Linked DNA regions of Callithrix jacchus. The protein of the gene in region 3 binds, or shares a complex with, the protein of the main gene of each other region. Links are inferred from orthologs where the notes say so. Each region holds a gene or a part of one and is shown on either strand. Other genes may lie near its edges.

Evidence for each region. Proteins that work in one complex are often made in the same cells at the same time.
Region 1: the proteins of SFN (region 3) and PADI6 are in contact, whole or in part, in a crystal structure (PDB 4DAT), measured with the Homo sapiens proteins. The link is inferred for Callithrix jacchus from reciprocal best matches to the Homo sapiens genes SFN and PADI6. Residues at the interface, in NP_006133.1 of Homo sapiens: Lys49, Arg56, Arg60, Lys122, Arg129, Tyr130, Gly171, Leu174, Asn175, Val178, Tyr181, Glu182, Leu222, Asp225, Asn226, Leu229, Trp230; in NP_997304.3 of Homo sapiens: Phe443, Tyr444, Pro445, Ser446, Ala447, Glu448.
Region 2: the proteins of SFN (region 3) and EIF2AK2 are in contact, whole or in part, in a crystal structure (PDB 7OBK), measured with the Homo sapiens proteins. The link is inferred for Callithrix jacchus from reciprocal best matches to the Homo sapiens genes SFN and EIF2AK2. Residues at the interface, in NP_006133.1 of Homo sapiens: Lys49, Arg56, Lys122, Asp126, Arg129, Tyr130, Glu133, Gly171, Leu174, Asn175, Val178, Glu182, Leu222, Asp225, Asn226, Leu229, Trp230; in NP_001129123.1 of Homo sapiens: Asn546, Glu547, Arg548, His549, Thr550, Cys551.
Region 4: the proteins of SFN (region 3) and FOXO1 are in contact, whole or in part, in a crystal structure (PDB 8A62), measured with the Homo sapiens proteins. The link is inferred for Callithrix jacchus from reciprocal best matches to the Homo sapiens genes SFN and FOXO1. Residues at the interface, in NP_006133.1 of Homo sapiens: Tyr19, Ser45, Lys49, Asn50, Arg56, Arg60, Lys122, Asp126, Arg129, Tyr130, Glu133, Gly171, Leu174, Asn175, Val178, Tyr181, Glu182, Leu218, Ile219, Leu222, Asp225, Asn226, Leu229, Trp230; in NP_002006.2 of Homo sapiens: Pro20, Arg21, Ser22, Cys23, Thr24, Trp25, Pro26, Leu27, Pro28, Arg29.
Region 5: the proteins of SFN (region 3) and MEFV are in contact, whole or in part, in a crystal structure (PDB 8C28), measured with the Homo sapiens proteins. The link is inferred for Callithrix jacchus from reciprocal best matches to the Homo sapiens genes SFN and MEFV. Residues at the interface, in NP_006133.1 of Homo sapiens: Glu14, Cys38, Asn42, Leu43, Ser45, Val46, Lys49, Arg56, Arg60, Glu115, Phe119, Lys122, Arg129, Tyr130, Pro167, Ile168, Gly171, Leu174, Asn175, Val178, Tyr181, Glu182, Asp215, Ile219, Leu222, Asn226, Leu229, Trp230; in NP_000234.1 of Homo sapiens: Arg205, Asn206, Ala207, Ser208, Ser209, Ala210, Gly211, Arg212, Leu213, Gln214, Gly215.

The regions. Positions count from the first base shown.
Region 1 is NC_133508.1:54,253,184-54,257,414, forward strand, and holds the start of PADI6 (inactive protein-arginine deiminase type-6), read left to right. Parts: upstream 1-1,430; coding exon 1,431-1,484; intron 1,485-4,231. UniProt on the Homo sapiens protein: Structural constituent of cytoplasmic lattices, which plays a key role in early embryonic development. Cytoplasmic lattices consist in fibrous structures found in the cytoplasm of oocytes and preimplantation embryos.
Region 2 is NC_133515.1:77,831,444-77,835,450, reverse strand, and holds the start of EIF2AK2 (interferon-induced, double-stranded RNA-activated protein kinase), read right to left. Parts: upstream 2,802-4,007; 5' UTR 2,705-2,801; intron 1-2,704.
Region 3 is NC_133508.1:63,511,714-63,514,957, forward strand, and holds SFN (14-3-3 protein sigma), read left to right. Parts: upstream 1-1,424; 5' UTR 1,425-1,487; coding exon 1,488-2,234; 3' UTR 2,235-2,737; downstream 2,738-3,244. UniProt on the Homo sapiens protein: Adapter protein implicated in the regulation of a large spectrum of both general and specialized signaling pathways. Binds to a large number of partners, usually by recognition of a phosphoserine or phosphothreonine motif.
Region 4 is NC_133506.1:159,848,054-159,852,289, forward strand, and holds the start of FOXO1 (forkhead box protein O1), read right to left. Parts: upstream 2,802-4,236; 5' UTR 2,370-2,801; coding exon 1,743-2,369; intron 1-1,742. UniProt on the Homo sapiens protein: Transcription factor that is the main target of insulin signaling and regulates metabolic homeostasis in response to oxidative stress.
Region 5 is NC_133513.1:5,411,142-5,415,449, forward strand, and holds the start of MEFV (pyrin), read right to left. Parts: upstream 2,802-4,308; 5' UTR 2,192-2,801; exon of another isoform or gene 2,139-2,191; intron 1-2,138. UniProt on the Homo sapiens protein: Involved in the regulation of innate immunity and the inflammatory response in response to IFNG/IFN-gamma.

The sequences.
Region 1 (4,231 bases), about 9.3 Mb from region 3:
GAGTTCCTCCTCTAGCTTCTGCCAGCATTCCTCAGCTAGTGGCTGCATCAATGCCAGTCTCTGCCTCGCTGGTCACGTGGCTTTCTTCTCTGTGTGTGTCAAATCTCCCTCTGTATCTCCCTTGTAAGGACACTTGTGATGATATTTGGAGCCCATCCAGACAGTCCAGGACAATTTCCCCATCCCAAGGTCTTCAATCACGTCTGCAAACAAAGACTCTTTCTGTATGAGATAACTTACAGAGTTGGAAGTAGAAGTTCAGCATCACAAAGAAAATGATCACTCAAAGAAATTCTCAGCAAGGCAACTTTACTTCTGCAGAAGGGTGCTGCCTATAAGCCTGTTTGCATGAGATCACCCGAACAAAGGAGAGGAGGGCTTTTTATCCCTAACACATGGGGCTTCTAGTACTGTGTCCAGCCTCCGTTGTCTGGAGCTGGACGGCACAGTCTAAGCTAAACCCCGATTGGCTAAAAGCTGAAAAGTTTCCTAAATAGATGAAGGCAACGGAGAACAAAGAAAGGGAGAAAGTGTTTGTGAAAAGACTAGGAAAGCAATAACATGTCCAAATAAGGAAAGGAGTATATGTTACAAGCTAGGACATGCCTGGGCATGTCCAGGCATGCCCACGCAGATCAGGAAACAAGTGGGTTAGGCCTTTAGAAATTAAAGAACAAGGGAACAGAATATGCCTTATTTGACTTAATTGCCTTCCTTTTTGAGGAAGAACTTCACTGTATCTATCATACAGGTTCCAAGGACCTGCTATCTCTTGGGTGCCATTATTCCACTCACTATGGGTTGGAGATTACCAGCTGCAAGCTGCAGCCGGCAGAAGGGGAAAGAAATAAGCCAGGCACCTCCCTTGCACAGCTCTAAGCCTTGCACCTGCATAACCTCATAGGAAAGGATGAAGATCTCCCTTTATAAAACCAAGTCTTGCATGGGAGCAAACTTTCCAACTCCTGAATTGAGAATGTTTGGTGACTGTTTTTTGCCTGGTTCCTGGAAACTGATTCTTAGATGGAGATTTACCTGCAGGAGGTTTATGGGGGGGTGCGGGGGAAGGTGTTCTCAGGAAGCCCACCTGGGAGGGAGTGTGGGGCTCAGATGCAGTTGCCACAAGGTTTCAGGCAATGCATGGGGTAGCTTGGGGGCTGGGGAAGGGCCTCAGAGTTGTCCTGCATTCAGGCGAGGCAACCTGGCCTCTGTTGCCCCACACTGGATGTGGCTGTCCTCAGAAGGGGACACAGTCAGGTGCTAGGCAGCTCCTAGGCACAGAAGGCAATTCCAGAAGAGAGACACCCACAGCAGCTGGGGGCGTGAGTGTCTCCTCCTAAAGGGGGTTGTGGCAGCTCCACACAGCACCCACCACAGCACCCACCACAGTGACCTCAAGTGATCATGGGACTTCTGATGGCTTAAGCGTGATGAGCAAACCTCACCGAGTTGCCGAGAGAGAACTTCGTGCATGGAATAAGCATGTGAGGAGTGCGGGGTCAATACCAAGTTACTTTATGACCATGTAACCCAGGCAGGTCCAGCCAATGCCACTTGGAGAGTCAAGCCCAGTAACAAGAGCAAAATATGGTAGAAAGTAACTTCATTTACCCCACCTAGCAATGGCAGAGTGGGTGGATTCACTTCAAAAGCAACCACTGTGGCTTTCTTGGGTGAAGGCAAAGGTTTAAGAAGGGAAACTCAGCTGGGCCTGGTGGTTCACGCCTGTAATCCCAGCACTTGGGGAGGCTGAGGTAAGCAGATCACCTGAGGTCAGGAGTTCGAGACCAGCCTGACCTACATGGTGAAACCCTGTCTCTACTAAAAATACAAAAACTAGCTGGCGTGGTGGTAGATGGCTGTAATCTCAACTATTTGGGAGACTGAGGCAAGCGAATTGCTTGAACCTGGAAGGCAGAGGTTGCAGTGAGCCGAGATCATGCCACTGCACTCCAGTTTAGGTGACAAAGCAAGACTCTGTCTCAAAAAAAAAAAAAAGGCTGGGCATGGTGGCACATGCCTGTAATCCCAGCTACTCAGGAGGCTGAGGCAGGAGAATTGCCTGAACCCAGGAGGCAGAAGTTGTGGTGAGCTGAGATTGTGCCATTGCACTCCAGCCCGGGTAACAAGAGTGAAACTCCGTCTCAAAAAAAAAAAAAAAGAGGGGAAACTTGGTATAGGAGGCATGCAGGAGTTGTACGGGTACAAGGTCTGTGTGTCATGTCTCCATGGCTAACTCGGGGTCTCAGCCCCCAGAGCACAGGCTGACGTCATCTCAGCAAGTCGCTGAGTTGCTGGCTGCCTGGAGGTAATCTCTTGAAATTTGCCGCTGGGCCTCTAGGCTTGGTCTGTCTGCCTCTAGGTTAGCCCCTGGAACTTCTTTTATTATTATTATTACTATTACTATTTAGAGACAGAGTGTCATTATGTTGCCCAGGCTGGTCTCAAACTCCTGGGTTCAAGGAATTCTTCTGTCTCAGCCTCCCAAAGTGCTGGGATTACAGGCATGAGTCACCACATCTGGCCTGGAACTTCTAAGTAAGCACATAATTAGATACTAGCACATAGTTAGATGAACGTGAAGGAGCTTTATGGTGGGAAAGGGAGGGACGTGGAGTCTATTTTAAGGTTAAGGGAAAAGGCTCCTGCCGTTTGCTTTAAGGCTACATCTTGAGACTAAAGAGAAAGAGAAAGGGAAAAAGAAGTTGTAAAGTGCATTTGAAGTTAAGCTGCTCAGTTACAATCATAAACCACCCTGGAAGCCCATTGGGTTATTATCTTTTTAGGGGGGAAACAAGGAGGTCATTTAGTCATTTGCTCCACAAGGATTTGTTGAGCACCTACTGTGTCTAAGGCTCTTTTGCTGGGGATTCAGTGGTGAATAGGAAGACCCTGGAGGGGAGCAGGACATGCTCTGGGTCTAAGTCCCTTTCATCTCTGTCCACCAGGCTGGGCGCGGAGCCTTCTTCACTGTGCTCAGACAGCCTGGCACAAGGTAGGGCTGTGCCAGAGTAGGGACGGTCAGAGCTTCCAGGCTGCTCTCCTCCAGACCCTAGAGCCTGGACTGGGCCTCAGCGACCCCTACCCAGTCAACCCATCTTCTCTCTCCAGGCGCCTCTGGCTGCTTGCGCACTAGGGTGGGTGAGCCCTTTGGGATGAGTCTCTCCGGAGCCTCTGCAAGCTGAGCACCTCCTGCCTATTTAATTTTGCCACTTTCAATCCAACCAGATGGGTGTTTTGGGTCTTGCTGACCAACCCCTGCCTCCAAGAGCAACTAAAACAGAGCCATCCTTGAGAGTTTTGTTGCCTGCTTAAAACCTGCAGGGAGGGGATTGTTCACTTCACCTTGCAAATTTAATCAGCCTAGCTGACCGAGCAGTCTTCACTCAGTACCTCATCTTCATCTCCTGTGCTGGGTATGCCCAGTGACTCTCAGAGCTTTGCAAAGACTGAAAACAAATGCTACATATATTACGGTACGACCCTATGGAAATACACAGCCATACAAAGGGGTAAGGCTGCTTTTTTACATACTGATATGAAGAACTTCTCTCCAGTATAACTGTGAAGTCAAAGGGGCAAGGTATGAGTCATTTGTAGAGCAAATGACTAAATGACCTCCTTGTCCTTCCCCAAAAAAGATAACCCAGTGGGCTTCCAGGGGCATCTTCACTGAACTGAAGAGTTTTTAATTGTGACCAAGCAGCTTAACTTCGAATGCATTTTACAACTTCCTTTGCTCTCCAGTGTCAAGATGTTACCTCGAAGAAAACTGCAGAAACCTTTTTCCCTTAACCTTAAAATAGGCTCCACGTTCCTCCCTTTCCCACCGTAAAGCTCCTTCAAATTTATCTGTGTGCGAGTATCTGAGGAGGAGGAGAAGGATCATGCATAACATTTACGTGGAAAGACATAAAAGAAACTGGTAACACTGTCACTGCCTCCACCTGCAGGTGAGTAAGAGACAGGGCAGGAGTGAGCCCTATTCCAGAATAAGCACGACCCAGACTGGGCAACATAGCAAGACCCCATCTCTACAGAAAAATGTAAAACCATTAGCTGGACATGGTGGTGTACATCTGTAGTCCCAGCTACTCAGGAGGCTGAGTCAGGAGAATCACTTGAGCCTGGGAGGTCGAGGCTGCAGTGAGCCATGATTGTGCCACTTTACTCCAGCCTGGGTGACAGAGTGAAACCTTGTCTCAAAAAAAAAAAGAAGAAGAAAAAGCAC
Region 2 (4,007 bases), on a different chromosome or scaffold from region 3:
CTAAAATGCTCTTGACTCCACTCCTTCTGCTGTCTTGGCCCAGTCAATTTCTACTTCCTACAGATTTCAGCTCAAAATCCCAGACACTCCTTCACAGGCTCTTTCATAATGCGCATGCTCTTTATTAAAACTGCTTGTTTAACTATTTTCCAAAATAGAGCATGAATTACTAGAAGTAAAGGACCAGGCTCCACAATGAATGAATGAGGACCAAAATCTCTCCAGATACCCTCTCCAGAATGTATCACCTGTTTTTCTCTACATTTATACTGTAATATCTACATTCTCTCTGGACCCAGCAATCTCCACTCATCTATCAAGATCAACACATCCTCCTTCGATCCTGGAGACTCAGCTAGTAGCCCTCCATGGACCTGTCATTCCACCTTACCCAACCCTCATCACAGCCCTGACTGCTTTTTAAAGTAATTAGTAAGCTCTTTGGGGAGCAGATTCTACATCTTATTTACTCATCTGGAAGAAATCTCTATCATAATCACTAAAAAATAATATTTGTCCATCTTACTAATGCCCAGAAATTACTTTGGCTATTTCTTCACTCGCTTCTAGCAGATTACAGTCTCCATCTAGGGCCAGCACATTGATTCACATAGATCATGCCTTCAACTAGTATCTGAATAATAAATGAATAAACGGCTGGGCACGGTGGCTCATGCCTGTAATCCCAGCACTTTGGGAGGCCAAGGCAGGCAGATCACCAGAGATTCGGAGTCTGAGACCAGCCTGGCCAACATGGTGAAACCCCATCTCTACTAAAAATACAAAAATTAGCCAGGTATGGTAGTGCATGCCTGTAATCCCAGCTACTTGGGTGGCTGAGGCAGGAGAATCACTTGAACCTGGGTGATGGAGGTTGCAGTGAGCTGAGATCACACCACTGCACTCCAGCCTAGGTAACAGAGTGAGACTCTGTCTTAAATAAATAAATAAATAAATAGTCAAGTATTTGGGATCTCCAGGTTCAAATAAGCAAACTGAAAAACAACAGCATTATTTGCCCAACATTCTAAATTCCTAAGTGACAGCAGAGAGCCTGTCTTTTAGCTTCTATCTGGCAAAGCATTTTTAGTACTAAGGAAAACATGGGGCCAGGGGCAGTGGTTCATGCCTGTAATCCCAGCAATTTGGGAGGCCGAGGCAGGTAGATCGCCTCATGGTGATCTACCCATGTGATCTAGCCCATGTGGTGAAACCCTGTTCTCTACTAAAAATATAAAAATTAGCTTGGCATGGTAGTGTGTGCCTGTAATCCCAGCTGCTCAGGAGGCTGAGGCAGGAGAATTTCTTGAACCCAGGAGGCAGAGGTTGCAGTGAGCCAAGATCACCCCATTGTACTGGAGCCTGGGTGACAGAGTGAGATTCCATCTTGAAAAGAGAGGGGAGGGAAGGGGAGAGGATGGGAGGCAAGGGAAGGGGAGGGGAGGGGAGAGGGAGAAGGGGAAGGGTAGAGGAAAGAAAGGGAAGGAAGGAAAGGGAAAGGGAGAAAGAGAGAGAGGAAGAGAGAGGGAAGGAGAAAAGAAAGAAAATGAAGAGAAAGAGAAAAGAAAGAAAAGAGGAAGGGAGGGAAGGTAGGAAAGAATGAAACATGGGCAATAGGAAGCCTCATTATTTTGGAATTCAAAAGGGAGTTTACAAATTACCATTCATTTAACAAATATTTAATGAGCACCTATTATGTACTAGGTGCGGGGCTATACCAGTGAACCCTGCTATAGGTAATTGTGAGATTACCAGTGGAGGAACAACCCACAAGAAAATGTCAGAGGGTGATCAGCACTATGTTGAAAACCGAGGTAGTGGAAGGGGGAGCAGTGAGGGCAGAGTGGGGTTTCTTGTATATGCAAGCTGTTTGGGGAAGGCTGCTCTGATAAGCTGGCATGGGAAGCAGTCCAGGATAAGGGAGGGCTTTCCCCATGCAGGTGTCTGGAGGAAAAGCTTTCCAGGAAGAAGAAACAGGCAATGCAAAGGCTTAGAGGCGGGAGGATGCTTGGCTTTGCACCAGGAGCAGCAAGGAAGCCAGTGTGGCCGGAGTAGAGGTGCAAGAGGCCTTGCCTGTGAGTCTTAATAAACATTTATAGGATTCTGATGAGACAGGAAAGCTATGGGGAAGGTCTGAGCAGGGGAGCATCTGGTTCTTACTTAAAGGAACACTACGGTTGCTGAGGTGTGGAGAAGAGGTAGTGGGTGGAGGCTGGGGGTGAGGAGACGAGTGGGAATAGGAACTGCAGTTGGGAAACTACTGCAACTCTCCATGCAAGAGATTTTTAGCCAGAGATTGTTTACGCAGTCTATGAGTATTTCAGGCCTCCATAATTTCCATGTGTCAAGCCACTAGGCCTATTGGTCTTCCACTAGACTCCGCCCCCCGACTGCTGCCTGGGAAATATGTTACTTGCACTGATAAAAATGTTTTGCGGGACGGAAATGGCTTTGAGTCCCCACCCAACTCTACGATCCTTTTCCTGGATTCGGAGAGGGCTGCACCCGGGCTGTGGGCCTGGGACTGCGCTCCCACTGCTGACACAACCCGGGCCAGGGACTGCGGATCAGCGTCGGCGTTCGGAGCTGGGGACGCGGGATCGGCGGGTCCTGCCCCGGCTGGGCCCGCAGCCCCTGGCCCGCCGCGCCCCCATCCCCATCCCCCGCCCCCCGCGTTCCCTCGGCTGCCCACGGCCCGGCTCACCTGCGCCGCTGCCACTGCCACCGCTGTCAGCCGGAGACCCTCGGCTTCTGGAGAGCTAGCTCTCGGTTTCGCTTTCCGCTCGGACTCCGCCTTCTCTGAAGCCGCCCGGCCCCCTCACGCACAAGCCGTCCTCTGCTCCGGGATTGGTGTAAATTGGCGCTGGATCCCGAGTGCGCGCGGGAGGCACCGGCGGGGGGGCTTGGCGCCCACGTGCAGCCTCTGCGCGGCCAGAACCCGGCATCCCCAACCCCCGCCCCCTCGGCTCCTGGGGCAAGTGGCGCTAGCTGCACTAGGTTCTGGAATCAAGGGTTCCGCTTACTCTTCAACACAAACATCTGGGGTAGGGTTGGGAAGATGGGTATTACCAGCTCCGTTTTACAAAGAGGAACTGAGTAAATGAACTCGCCCAGGATCCTGCCGCTCGTAAGTCGCAAAGCCAGGATTCAGTTCAAGTCTGGGCCTGTAAACACCAAAGCACTCCTTCCCGCTAGCCACACCACTGTCCCCTCCCCTTTACAAGGCTGGGGATGGGAAGCCCGGGGGCGGGGGCGTAATCTCCTTCACTCGGCCTCACCCATCCATTTATTCCTGAGCAGACACTCGCCAGCCGCGGTAAAAACACCCGCGGGTCAGTCCTGCAGTTAAAGAGAGCCACCTGCTCCCTACAGTACCTCAGGAAGTTTCCTACCATGGTCAAGCACCAATGGTCCTCGATTTATAGAAATCCTACTCACCTGATGGACACACTCCCGGAGTCACACAGAGTCCCACAGTCATTGGCATAGCGACTAAAGAGTATTGAGGCCCAGAGAAGTTAGATAAACACAGCTAGTAAGCAGCTAGTGGAGTTAGAATTATAACCAGGAGTCTGTACTCTCAACATCTTAGCTGGGATAAGAGAGGGAGATGGTCCCAAGACGGATCTCAAATATACATTAAATATTATGCCTAGGCTGGGTGCGGTGGCTCATACCTGTAATCCCAGCACTTTGGGAGGCCTAGGTGGGTGGATCACCTGAGATCAGAAATTCAAGACCGGCCTGGCCAACATGGCAAACCCCACTGCTACTAAGAAATACAAAAATTAGCTGGGTGTGGTGGTGGCATGTGTCTGTAATCCCAGCTACTCCAGAGGCTGAGGCAGGGAGAATTGCTTGAACCTGGGAGGCGGAGGTTGTAGTGAGCTGAGATTGTGCCACTGCACTCCAGCCTAGGTAACAGAGTGAGACTCCATCTCAAAATAAATAAATAATTAAATTATGCCTAGGCAAGCATCCACTCCAGCCTCCCTTCTCTATCCCCC
Region 3 (3,244 bases):
AAAAATTAGCTGGGCATGGTGGTGTGCCTGTAATCCCAGCTCCTCGGGAGGCTGGGGCAGAAGAATTGCTTGAACTGGGAGGGGTGGAGGTTGCAGGGAGCCAAGATTTTGCCACCGCACTCCAGCCTGGGCGACAGAGCGAGACTCCTTCTCAAAAAAAAAGAGAAGGAACAGGGAAACTTCTGAGACAGGCTGGGGGAGGCATCACGTAGCTGGGATTGCTGCCCCATAAAACAGAATGATATGTGTCACTGCCACCTACCTTCCTCAGTCCTCTCCCTCCCCAGGTTGCTAGCGTCCCCCCTGGGGGATCAAACTGGACTGCTTCCCAGCCTCAGACAAGAGGGCAGTCTGAGTCAGGCAGGAAAGTGGGACAGCTGGGGAGCTGGACCCCACCCTCTGGAAGCCCCGCTGGTACCTGATGGCATATGGCTTGGAGAGGGCAGGTGACCTGGCATGGAGGGCCAGAGGGTAAGTCCTCAAACAAGTGGCAACAGGCCACCAACTTGAAAGGGAAAATTGTGTAGTGATGGGAAATGTGTTCAACAAACCTACTGGGTGACTAATTACAAAGGCTGGGCTGGAGCGTCAGAGGCTGCTTGTTAAACACTTTATTAAGTGGCACTCCGAAAGCTGCCACCTGTGCATTCTGGGAGCTCAGAGGGGACCCATCTGGGGGATGGAACTGTCTTCAGGTAGACTGAGGAAGCAGCCTGGATCTCATTTCCAAACACAGCCTGGAGCTCATAGGTCAGAGGCCTCATGGGAGAAAATCTAAAGGAGGTAGGGTGCAGAAAAGAGTTTCAGGGAATTGGTGGCTATGTGACTTTGAGCAAATCTCACCCCTCTCTGAAACTTAGTGTACCCATCTCTATGGTCCTGTGTATGTCACAGAGACATGGAGGGGATTAAAGTTGATCATGAATATAAAAGTGCTTGAGAAACTGTATAGCCCTACCTATACATGAATTATTCTCCCCTGAACCAAGCGGGGGAAGTTACCTCTCCGGATTAGGAACCCCATCCTCCTGAACCTTTATGAGCTCTATCAAGGCTGAAGCAGCCAGGGGCTAAAGCCATCCTTAGCCCCTGGAAGGGCACTGTGAAAGAGGATCTGATATGAGAAGCCAGGCAGCTTCCTGATGTGGGCAGTCATGTAATGCCAGTCCTGAACAAGAGGGGGCAGCGTGGAGCCCAGAAAGGCACCTGTGCAGGTGGGGCCAACGCCCAGATTTCTCCTGCTGACTGTCCTGATGACTCACTCCCACATCCCAACCCTTTTACCTTTCATGCAGAGCCGGAAAGGGTGTGGGGAGGAGAGGAGAGGGAGGCAGGTCTTGGGCCCTGGTCCTGCCCCCTGCTCCTCCCCACCCTTCTCAGGGCCTGGCCACCCAGCCAAAAGGCAGGCCGAAAGCAGGAGAGGCACAGAGTCCGGGATTGGTCCCAGGCAGCAGTTACCCGCCGCCCTCCTGTCTGTTCCCAGAGCCATGGAGAGAGCCAGTCTGATCCAGAAGGCCAAGCTGGCAGAGCAGGCCGAACGCTATGAGGACATGGCAGCCTTCATGAAGGGCGCCGTGGAGAAGGGCGAGGAGCTCTCCTGCGAAGAGCGAAACCTGCTCTCTGTGGCCTACAAGAACGTGGTGGGTGGCCAGAGGGCTGCCTGGAGGGTCCTGTCCAGCATTGAGCAGAAAAGCAATGAGGAGGGCTCGGAGGAGAAGGGCCCCGAGGTGCATGAGTACCGAGAGAAGGTGGAGACTGAGCTCCGGGGCGTGTGCGACACTGTGCTGGGCCTGCTGGACAGACACCTCATCCAGGAGTCTGGGGACGCCGAGAGCCGGGTCTTCTACCTGAAGATGAAGGGCGACTACTACCGCTACCTGGCTGAGGTGGCCACCGGTGACGACAAGAAGCGCATCATTGACTCGGCCCGGTCAGCCTACCAGGAGGCCATGGACATCAGCAAGAAGGAGATGCCGCCCACCAACCCCATCCGCCTGGGCCTGGCCCTGAACTTTTCCGTCTTCCACTACGAGATCGCCAACAGCCCCGAGGAGGCCATCTCGCTGGCCAAGACCACCTTCGACGAGGCCATGGCTGATCTGCACACCCTCAGCGAGGACTCCTACAAAGACAGCACCCTCATCATGCAGCTGCTGCGAGACAACCTGACCCTGTGGACGGCTGACAACGCCGGGGAAGAGGGGGGCGAGGCGCCCCAGGAGCCCCAGAGCTGAGTGTTGCCCGCCACCAGCCGGCCCTGCCCTGCCCCCTCCAGTACCCCACCCTGCCAAGAGGACTAGTATGGGGTGAGAGGCCCCACCCTTCTCCCCCAGGCGCTGTTCTTGCTCCAAAAGGTTCCATGGAAAGGGACTGGCAGAGCCGAGGCCACCTGGGGCTGGGGATCCCACTCTTCTCGCAGCTGTTGAGCACACCTAATCACTGGTCATGCCCCACCCCTGCTCTCTGCACCCGCTTCCTGCCGACCCCACGACCAGGCTACTTCTCCCCGATCTTGCCTCCCTCCTGCCCCTGCTGCCTGATGTTAGGAATTGAGGAGTAAGTGTCCCGCCTTGTGCCTGAGAACTGCACAGTGGTAGGGGCTAGAGATTGTGTGTGTGTGTGTGTGTGTGTGTGTGTGTGTGTGCGTGCGCTTGCCAGTGCAAGATCGAGATTGAGGGAAAGCATGTCGGCTGGGTGTGATCATGTTTCCTCTCAATAAAGTTCCCCTGTAACACTCCTCCTGTCTCTTCCAGTTCTTGGCGATGGGCTGGGAGTGGGACTGGAATCTGATTTAGAGACCCTGAACTTGGACCTGAGTTAGGACCCTGACCTCCCTGGGTGCTCAGTGACCCGCACGCAAGACTTTGAGTCCAGGTGAGGCCGGGGTCCAGCTCTGTCCTTCAGGGAGGCCCCACACTGGACGGGCCCGGAAGGGGCCGGTGAACCCACAGGAGGCGCCAAGGCTCCTCTGCCGGGCTGAGGGGAGGTGAGTGGGAGCCGCGAGGTTGACGAGCTCAGGTGGGGCGGGGCAGGAAACAGTGAAGTCTCCGGCGTGAGATCTAAGGACAGCGCCGCAGTAGCGAGCGGCACTGAGCACCCGATTTGCAAGCAGGTCACAGTCTCATCACGGGCTCCGATCTCAGCGGAGGGGAATACCATCTGAGTGAGGCAGAGGTATAGCGCAACCCTAAAACCCCAGATCTCAGGAGAGAGTCGTGTCCCACAGAGTTCGGAGATGCAGACA
Region 4 (4,236 bases), on a different chromosome or scaffold from region 3:
ACTCCTCCAGGAGCTTCAATACGGTGTGAGTAACTTAACCTTTTTGACACGCTTTAACCACAGGGACGACACTATGTAAAATAACCTTGGTTTAACAACTGCGCAGCAAACACCAATCTTTATTATGCTATACAGTCGACAAGAGAGGCGAGGAAAGTTTGTTTTAAAAGGTGTTTAGCTCGGCCGGGCGCAGTGGCTCACGCCTGTTATCCCCAACATTTTGGGAGGCCGAGGTGGGCGGATCACGAAGTCAGGAGATCGAGACCATTCTGGTCAACATGGTAAAACGCCGTCTCTACTAAAAATACAAAAATTAGCTGGGCGTGGTGGTTCCTGCCTGTAATCCCGGCTACTCGGAAGGCTGAGGCAGAGAATCGCGTGAACCAGGGAGTCGGAGGTTGCAGTGAGCCAAGATCGCACCACTGCACTCCAGCCTGGCGACAGAGCGAGACTCCGTCTCAAAAAACAGTGTTTACTCAACTAGTCAGCCTTTACAGCAGTTCTGCCACCGGTGACAGTGAGAAACTGTCAGCTTGGGGAGGCCGCGCGGCGACTGGACCTCGCCCCCGGGAAGCCTCCCCGGACCTAGCCGAGGCCCTCCTCGGAGTCGGTAAGTGCCTGCCCCCACGCTGAAGTGCCTCCTGGCCACGTTCTGAAAGGCAAAAATCCTCCTTCCAGGCTCCGCTCCCTCAACGCGCACCGCCACTCCGACTCCGTCAAAACACTGGTCGCAAAGCCCCTCGTCTGGCCCCCAGCTCCCCCATCTGGACCTCCCCGCTCAAGAATAGGGTAGAGCAAGGCAGGAAAAGACGCACACATCCCAGCCCCCGGCACCCCAGGGCAGCCTCTGTGTTTCTAACTAAAAGCCTCGTACCAGGGGCAAGACCAGATTCGGGCGCTTCCCCCATGGGGAAGCGCGGGCCCCAAGGCGCCCGACCCGGACGCGCTGGCCCTTTAAAGGCACTAGCTTCCTGCGCCCAGAGCCCCTCCCTCGTCACCGCCCGCGCCCGCCCCCGCCGAGGGTCACACTTGAACTTTAGCTCGCCCCGCGCGGCCGGGCGCCGGCGCTCCGCAGGCGGTGGCCGCCCCTTCGCACGTGTCGGAGGCGCCACCTCGGGATCGGGACGCCCGGCCCCCTGAACTCGAGGCCACTCCGGAGAAAACCAAAACAAAGCAAAATGCGCACCGCCTCCCGAAACTGCGTGGCCGGACTTACACCGTCCCCAGCCGATCGCGCTCTGCCAGTCCCCTCCACCTGCAGCCCCGTCCCGGGGCAGGGAGGCTCCGGGGACCCTTTCCGTGCCCTCCCCCGCCGCGCCCGGCGGAAACAGCCTCGCGGCGCGGCGGGAGAGGACCCGCCCTCGCCCCGCGGAGGTCAAGGAGGGAAGGGGCAGCCGAAGCAGTCAGCGCGGGCCGTGGGGGTGCCGCTCCCAGCGAACCCCTTTCTCCTTTCACTGGCAAACTTTTCGGCCGCTCTGACGTCCACTTCTTGACGCACGTTCTTTACTTAGTTCCCCAACGAACCCCTGTCCGCGTCCCACGCGGACTCTGGCGCGCGCGCACACCTACTGCGGTCCCGGACGGACCCGGGCGAGCCCACTGCGACCACCGATTCGCGCCCGCCCTCCTAGGCACGCGCTGCCCTCCTGCCCCGCACCCTCGGGCCGAGCAAACCTGCACAGCTGCGCCCTCGCCTGCCCCACCGCGCCCCCAAGGTCCGGCCGCGCGCCGAGGCCGCTCACCTTCCAGCCCGCGGAGCTGTTGCTGTCACCCTTATCCTTGAAGTAGGGCACGCTCTTGACCATCCACTCGTAGATCTGCGACAGCGTGAGCCGCTTCTCCGCCGAACTCTCGATGGCCTTGGTGATGAGGTCAGCGTAGGACAGGTTGCCCCACGCGTTGCGGCGGGACGAGCTGCTCTTGCGCGGCTGTCCCGCGAGCGGCCCGGCGGCGGCGGGGGGCACTGGTGGGTGCTGCGGCAGCGGCCCGGGCGGCGGGGGCTGCGGCGGCGCTGGGTGCAGGCAGCCCGCCTCCGGGCCCTGGAAGTCCCCGCACAGTCCCCCGGCGGCGGCCACGGCAGCCGCCGCCACCGCCGCCGCCACGGAGCCGGGCGCCTGCGGGAAGTCCTCGTTCTCCTCCAGCAGGCTCAGGTTGCTCATGAACTCAGCGCTGACAGCGGCCGCCGAGGCCGAGGGCAGGCCCGCCGCGGCGTCGGGATTGGCAGCCGCGCCGCCCGACGGCGCCGGGCTGGAGGTGGCCGAACTGGACTGGCTAAACTCCGGCCTGGGCAGCGGCCAGGTGCACGAGCGCGGCCGGGGCAGCGGCTCGAAGTCCGGGTCGATCTCCACCACCTGGGGCGCTTCGGCCATGGTGACCCCCGCCCCTCCCCCAGCCGCGAGAGAGCCGAGAGGGGAAGAGCGCAGCACCGGGGGCAGAGGGCGAGGGGGCGCGAAGAGACGGTCCGGGATTTGGGGGGACGAAGCCGGTGCGCCGAGCGGACGGACACTGGGAGGAAGGCGCGGCGGGGTGCAGGCGCGAGCCCAGAACTTAACTTCGCGGGGCCATCCACATCCAGGCTCCTCGGGGTCTGCCGCACGGACTGGACGGCGGGCCGGAGCCGCCGAGCCGGGGCACAGCCTGCGCCGCGCTCCCGCTGACAGGGCCGCGGACGGAAGGACGGACGGACGCCGCGGCCGCTCGCTTTGCCCGGCGGCGCGCCCGCTGCGCTGCTGCCTGTTGAATGTGGCGGCGGCGGCGGCGGCGGCTGCAGCAACTACGAGGCCGCCCGACTTACGGGATCTGCCGCCGCCCCCCGCCCGCGGCGACGCGCGCGCCGGCCCGCCCCTGACCGACAGTTCGCGCAGCCAATGGGCACGCGGCACCGCCGCCCGGGCAGCCAGTGCGCTCCGGGCTGGGCGGGGCCCGGTTTTCCGCCGGGAGGCGGCAGTGGGCTGGTGGGGGTAGCGGGGTGTTTTTCTCTTTCACACACCTTTTTTATTTTTTTTGGATCTCTGTTATTTTCTGGTAATTCTCGAGTGTTTCTGTGATTCTCTCGCCTTCTCAGTGTTTTGATTGCTAGGAAGCAAACCAGCGTGGAGGTGGCGGCGACACTTTGTTTACTACGGAGCTGCAGAGCCGAGTACTCTGGAAGCCCGGGTGGGACGAGGCGCTCGCTACGCCCTGACCTCGGCTGCGGGCCGAGTCCCGCGAGCGGGCAGGGCCGGGGGCCGGGGGCGCGGGGTGGACGGGCGGAGGCGGCCGCGCAGAATTCTACCCAGTAGCTCCCTCCTGGCTCCACCCACGAAGTCTTTGCTGAGCAACGTGGGGAATCGCTGGGTTTTGTTTTGGTTGAATGTTTTCTTTCGCTGCGATCTGTCAAGTCCTCCGGCCCCCGCACGGGCGGCACGCGCCCCCCGCCCCAGGCGCCGCGGCCCCCCGCGGTGGAGTCCGCGCCTAGGGTGCCTTCTCCGCGCCCCGCGCCCACCTGTCCGCACCCCCGGGCTCAGCCTGTGCCTTTCTGTCTAGCTGCGGACGCGTCGCCCAGCCGAGCAGCCCCCAGCCGGATTTACTGTATCCTTGACCTTTTTTAAAGGGCTAAACGTGAGGAACTGGGACTCCGGCGCCCGGAGGAGGTACTCCGGTCTCAGTGCAGACAGGGATCCAAAGGCACCCGCAACCGCCTGCCCTCCGTGGGAACTTCTTCCCCTGGGCGGGAACTTCCAGCTTCGTCCACTGAGTTCAGGGCCCGCAGCGAAGGGCTTAGGAACGCAGTTATCGAGAACCAAGACACTTTACTACCTACCCCTAATTAAATTTAACTGTTTGTTATTTTATATTTACAACGGAAGTGATCGGGTGTTAAGTAAAAACGGCGGGGGGGGGCGGGGGATAGGACCAAAGCCTTGGGGCGCAGCCTGCCCCACCCCCAAGTTCTTGAGGCTACTTGCTGTGTGCGTCAGTCAAACCCCCACCCACACCCCATCTTTCCTCATCTGGGCTGCAGGTCCAGGACATCCTGTCAAGGATCAGTGGGGCCAAAGGTAGGAAGATAATGGCCCTTGTGTCTCAGGGAGCAGAAGAAACAGTTTTCCAGTTTTGTTTTGTTATGCCTTTGCTTTTTTAGGAAGAATATGGAAGGCATTTCCTTTTAGAGGGATGGGACCACTCAGAATAGAAGATGGACAGTAAGGTTTTTAATATCTTGCCCAAAAGGACAGCTTCCAACTCTTAAAAAAA
Region 5 (4,308 bases), on a different chromosome or scaffold from region 3:
GCTGCTCAGGAGGCTGAGGCGGGAAGATTGCTTGAGCCTAGGTTGAGGCTGCAATGAGCTGTGATTGCACCACTGCACTCCAGCCTGGGTGACACAGCAAAACACCCAGTCTCAAGGAAAAAAAAAGGGAGTGAACCGAAATGCACATTGATGGCATAGACAGCAGACTTTTGGAATTTTTAGGCTGAGCCAGAAGAAGGGTGTTGACTGGGGTATCACTGGGACCAGCTCCTCCCGGGCAGTCTCCCAGATGGAGAAAGGATGAGACTCTGTAGTGACGCTATGGGTGCTGTGTGATCCCATCTTGACTGGTCAGAAAACTTCTCGGAGCTGAGACCAAAACCCCATGACAGAATTGGGCAGAAAACGGGACTTTCCGGTTTAAATCAGGACATTTTGCAATCGCGGTGACAGTTTTTGCAACAGAAGCAGTTCTAAGGCAGGACTTCTAGAAGACAATGTTTTGATGCCACTTGGGAGTTTCTAGGGCAAGAAAGGCTCACAAAGCTTTTGTTTGTGGGGGGGTCCAGTAATTTATTACAGTGAAAATACAATTATCGCCCTTGTAATGTCATTTAAGTGTTTTTATTTATTTATTTATTTATTTTTGAGATGGAGTAATAGGTCTGTTGTTGACATAATGGACAGAGCTGTTGGAAGGTTGTGGAAGATTTCCCATGTTGATTTGGAGTGGAGAATAATGAATCCCACTGTGACACAAACTCCTCCACACCACCGGTATATTTACTTTTAAGGGAGAGATCTGAGCCTTTGAGAGGCTAATCATTCAAATTTTAAGTGAATTTCCAGGCACCAAACTATATTCTAAGACACTTTGCTTAGAATCACTCCACAGCCCTCTCTGGGGTGAGCAAGCTGGCAAGAAAGGCCCTTGGTCATCCATGGCTTGTCTGTCAGCTGGCCCCTGATCACAGTGATGGCTGTCACTTCAGTGCTGAGATTATGTTTTGTACAGCACAGTCCTTGAGAAATAAAAAATTCAGAAACCTAAAGGGTTAACGATTTTTTTTTTGAGACGGAGTTTCGCTCTTGTTACCCAGGCTGGAGTGCAATGGCACGATCTCGGCTCACCGCAACCTCCACCTCCTGGGTTCAGGCAATTCTCCTGCCTCAGCCTCCTGAGTAGCTGGGATTACAGGCGCCCACAACCACAAAGCCTGCCTAATTTTTGTATTTTTAGTAGAAACGGGGTTTCACCATGTTGGTTTGGTACTCCTGGCCTCGAATGATCTGCCTGCTTTGGCCTCCCAAAGTGCTGGGATTACAGGCGTGAACCACTGCGTTTGGCCCACTCAGAAGAGCCTTTTTTTTTTTTTTTTTTTTTTTAATACAAGTCTCGCTCTGTTGCCCAGGCTGGAGTGCAGTGGCACTGTCTCGGCTTACTGCAACTCCACCTCTCAGGCTCAAGAGATTCTTCTGCCTCAGCCTCCTGAGTAGCTGGGATTACAGACACCCACCCCCATGCCTGGCTAGTTTATTAGAGATAGGGTATCACCATGTTGGCCAGGCTGGTCTCAAACTCCTGACCTCAGGTGATCCACCTGTCTCAGCGTCCCAAAGTGCTGGGATTACAGGTGTGGTTCACTGTACCTGGCCTGAGCCTACATTCTTATAGGAAAGTGTGAACTGATATAAACAAATACATAATGTATCCGGAAGTCATAAGGAAGTTGGAGAAAAAAATAGCAGAATAATAGGGTTAGCGAGTGCAGGGAATTTGTTTCATATTTTATTTTGTTATTATTATTATTTTTTTTTGAGACAGTCTCACTCAGCTGCCCAAGCAGAGTGCAGTGGCATGATCTCGGCTCACTGCAACCTCCACCTCCCAGGTTCAAGAGATTCTCCTGACTCAGCCTCCCAAGTAGCTGGGATTACAGGTGCACAGCACCACACCTGGATAATTTTTATATTTTTAGTAGAGACGGGGTTTCACCATGTTTGTTGGTGAGGCTGGTCTCAAACTGATGACCTCGTGATCCGCCCGCCTCGGCCTCCCAAAATGCTGGGATTACAGGCCTGAGCCACCGTGCCCAGCCCTTCGTTTCTCACCAACTACGAAGCTGCACTGACACTGCCCCCTTTGAGGTTCCGTTTGTTGAATCCTGCCCTCTAAGGTGCTGCCCACTTCCTCTCCCCGCCCCGTGCTTATGCCATTCCCACTCATCACCTTGTTTTGCAACTGTTGGCGAGTCTGGAAGCTCCACGAAATGGTGGGAAATACGAGACTCAAATATCTGGGGCCGTGTGACGTGGGCAAGTTAGTCGATTTTTCTCAGTTTCCGTTTCCTACCAAGTGGGTTGTTCCGGCAATTCGGGGAGGTAACAGTGCCGGGCACGGCGGGAGGAACCGCCAGTAGCGTCCTCGGACGTCCGCAGAGCCATGGCACGACTGTCAGGGGCGCGTCTGTGGGGAGGAGGGGGTCCCGCCCCCGCACAGCCGTTCCCTCCAGGACCCCTCCCGCCGACGCCCCGCGAACCCCACGCCAGAGCGGAGGGCGGCGCCACTCCGGGGGGGGGGTCTCTGCCCCGGCATCCCGAGGAGAAGGGGCTTCGGGAAGGAGACATGCGGGAAGAGCGACCGAGGATGAAGAGGAAGTGTCCGCAGGGCGCCAGGACGCGCTGGGGTCAAGCGAGACACTCCCTGCGCCTCATTCCCGCCGGGGTCCCGGGCTGACTGAAGAAGGGAGGGAGGCGCCCCACGGCGGCTTCTGCCGAGGGGCTCATAGAAGGCGCGACGGACGCGCCAGACCGACCCCCGAAGCCCCGCCCTCACGCATGCACTTGCGCAGACCGCTCCTAGAAACACATCTCCCAGAGTACCCCGCGAGCACGCGAGCCAGTTGGAGAGGGGATGGACAGGGACCCGTGTCTCCCAGAGGTCTCCGAGTCGCGGCGCCGTTGGTCTGATTGGCAGCCGCGACAGCCTATCGCTGCTTTTCGCCGGAGTTGCCGCGCGCCCTATGTCGGGAATGAGTCGATGTAGTCTCTGGTATCCCGGGCGCGGCGCCGTGAAGTGGAGTCGGCGTGTTTCCTGGCGTCTGGCGGCCCACGAGAATGGGACGTCCCGGGGCTGTGCTGACCCCCAAAAGCCTTCCACCCTTTATTAGCCTGTCGCCCTTTTTCATTCATGTTTACAGCAAACACTTTCCGAGTGCCTACTGTGTCCCACTTACTGTGCCACGTGCGAGTGTGCACGTGTCAGGCAAGACCCCTGTTCCAAGGAGGCCGAGAACAGATAAACGGTAGTTACTAGTCATGACAAAAGCGGTGAAAGGAACAGCTATTTCAGCCCAACAGCAGCACTACCGTTTTCTCAATCAGCAGAGGCAGGCTAGAGCAAGGATTCTCAAACTCTCTGCCCCCCTCAGAACCCTAGAGTACAGTTTCTGAAACTTGTGGCTTTTCCTTTTGAGAAATCTACTAACATAATATGAGCCAGAGAGGTAATGGTTTGGCTCAGAGAAAGCACATGCATCTGGTTTCTTATTTGAGGAGCTTCATAGGCATAGCCCTCTTCCTTCCTCCCCACCTCCCCCAGCTAATGCCAGACCAGCCACGACTTTTTAACTGTTTTAGGTATTGAACCTTCAAGAAGGATTTCCTTTGATCCAAGTGTATTGCAGCCCACAAAAATCTTGGAAAACCAGCTAGATGGTCTGTTTTTCTGGGTCCTACATTCTATTGACGTTCTACCCATCAAGACACTTGTCTTCAGGTAAGCATAAGGAGGGTGTATTCACCTCCATGGTAGTCTCAGGGGCACTTTCGTACACCTATCATGGTGATAATCCTAGAACACTTCCCCACCTGCCACACTTGCCAGTTAGTCAGAAACTATAAATCCCTTAAATGTCTGTCACCAGGGCATTGGCTGAATAAGTTTTGGTAAATCCATTCCATGGACTACACTGCATCCACTAAAAGCAGCGCAGTGCATTTGTGTGCTAATGTGCAAAGATGGTCTATGTATTATTCAATGGAAAAAGCACAATTGCAGTACAGTGCAGATAGTATGATCCCATGTTTGTAAATAACAAAAAAAAAAATTGTTAAAATTTATCTGGAGAGAAACGGAAGAAATAAATATGGCTGGCCGGGCATGGTGGCTCACGCCTGTAATCCAAGCACTTTGGAGGCCAAGGCGAGCGGATCACCTGAGGTCGGGAGTTCAAGACCAGCCTGACCAACATGATGAAACCCCGTCTTAAAAAAAAAAAAAAAAAAAGAAAAAGAAAGAAATATGGCTACCTCTAGAGAGTAGAATTGAGGGTAGGAGTTGGCCTC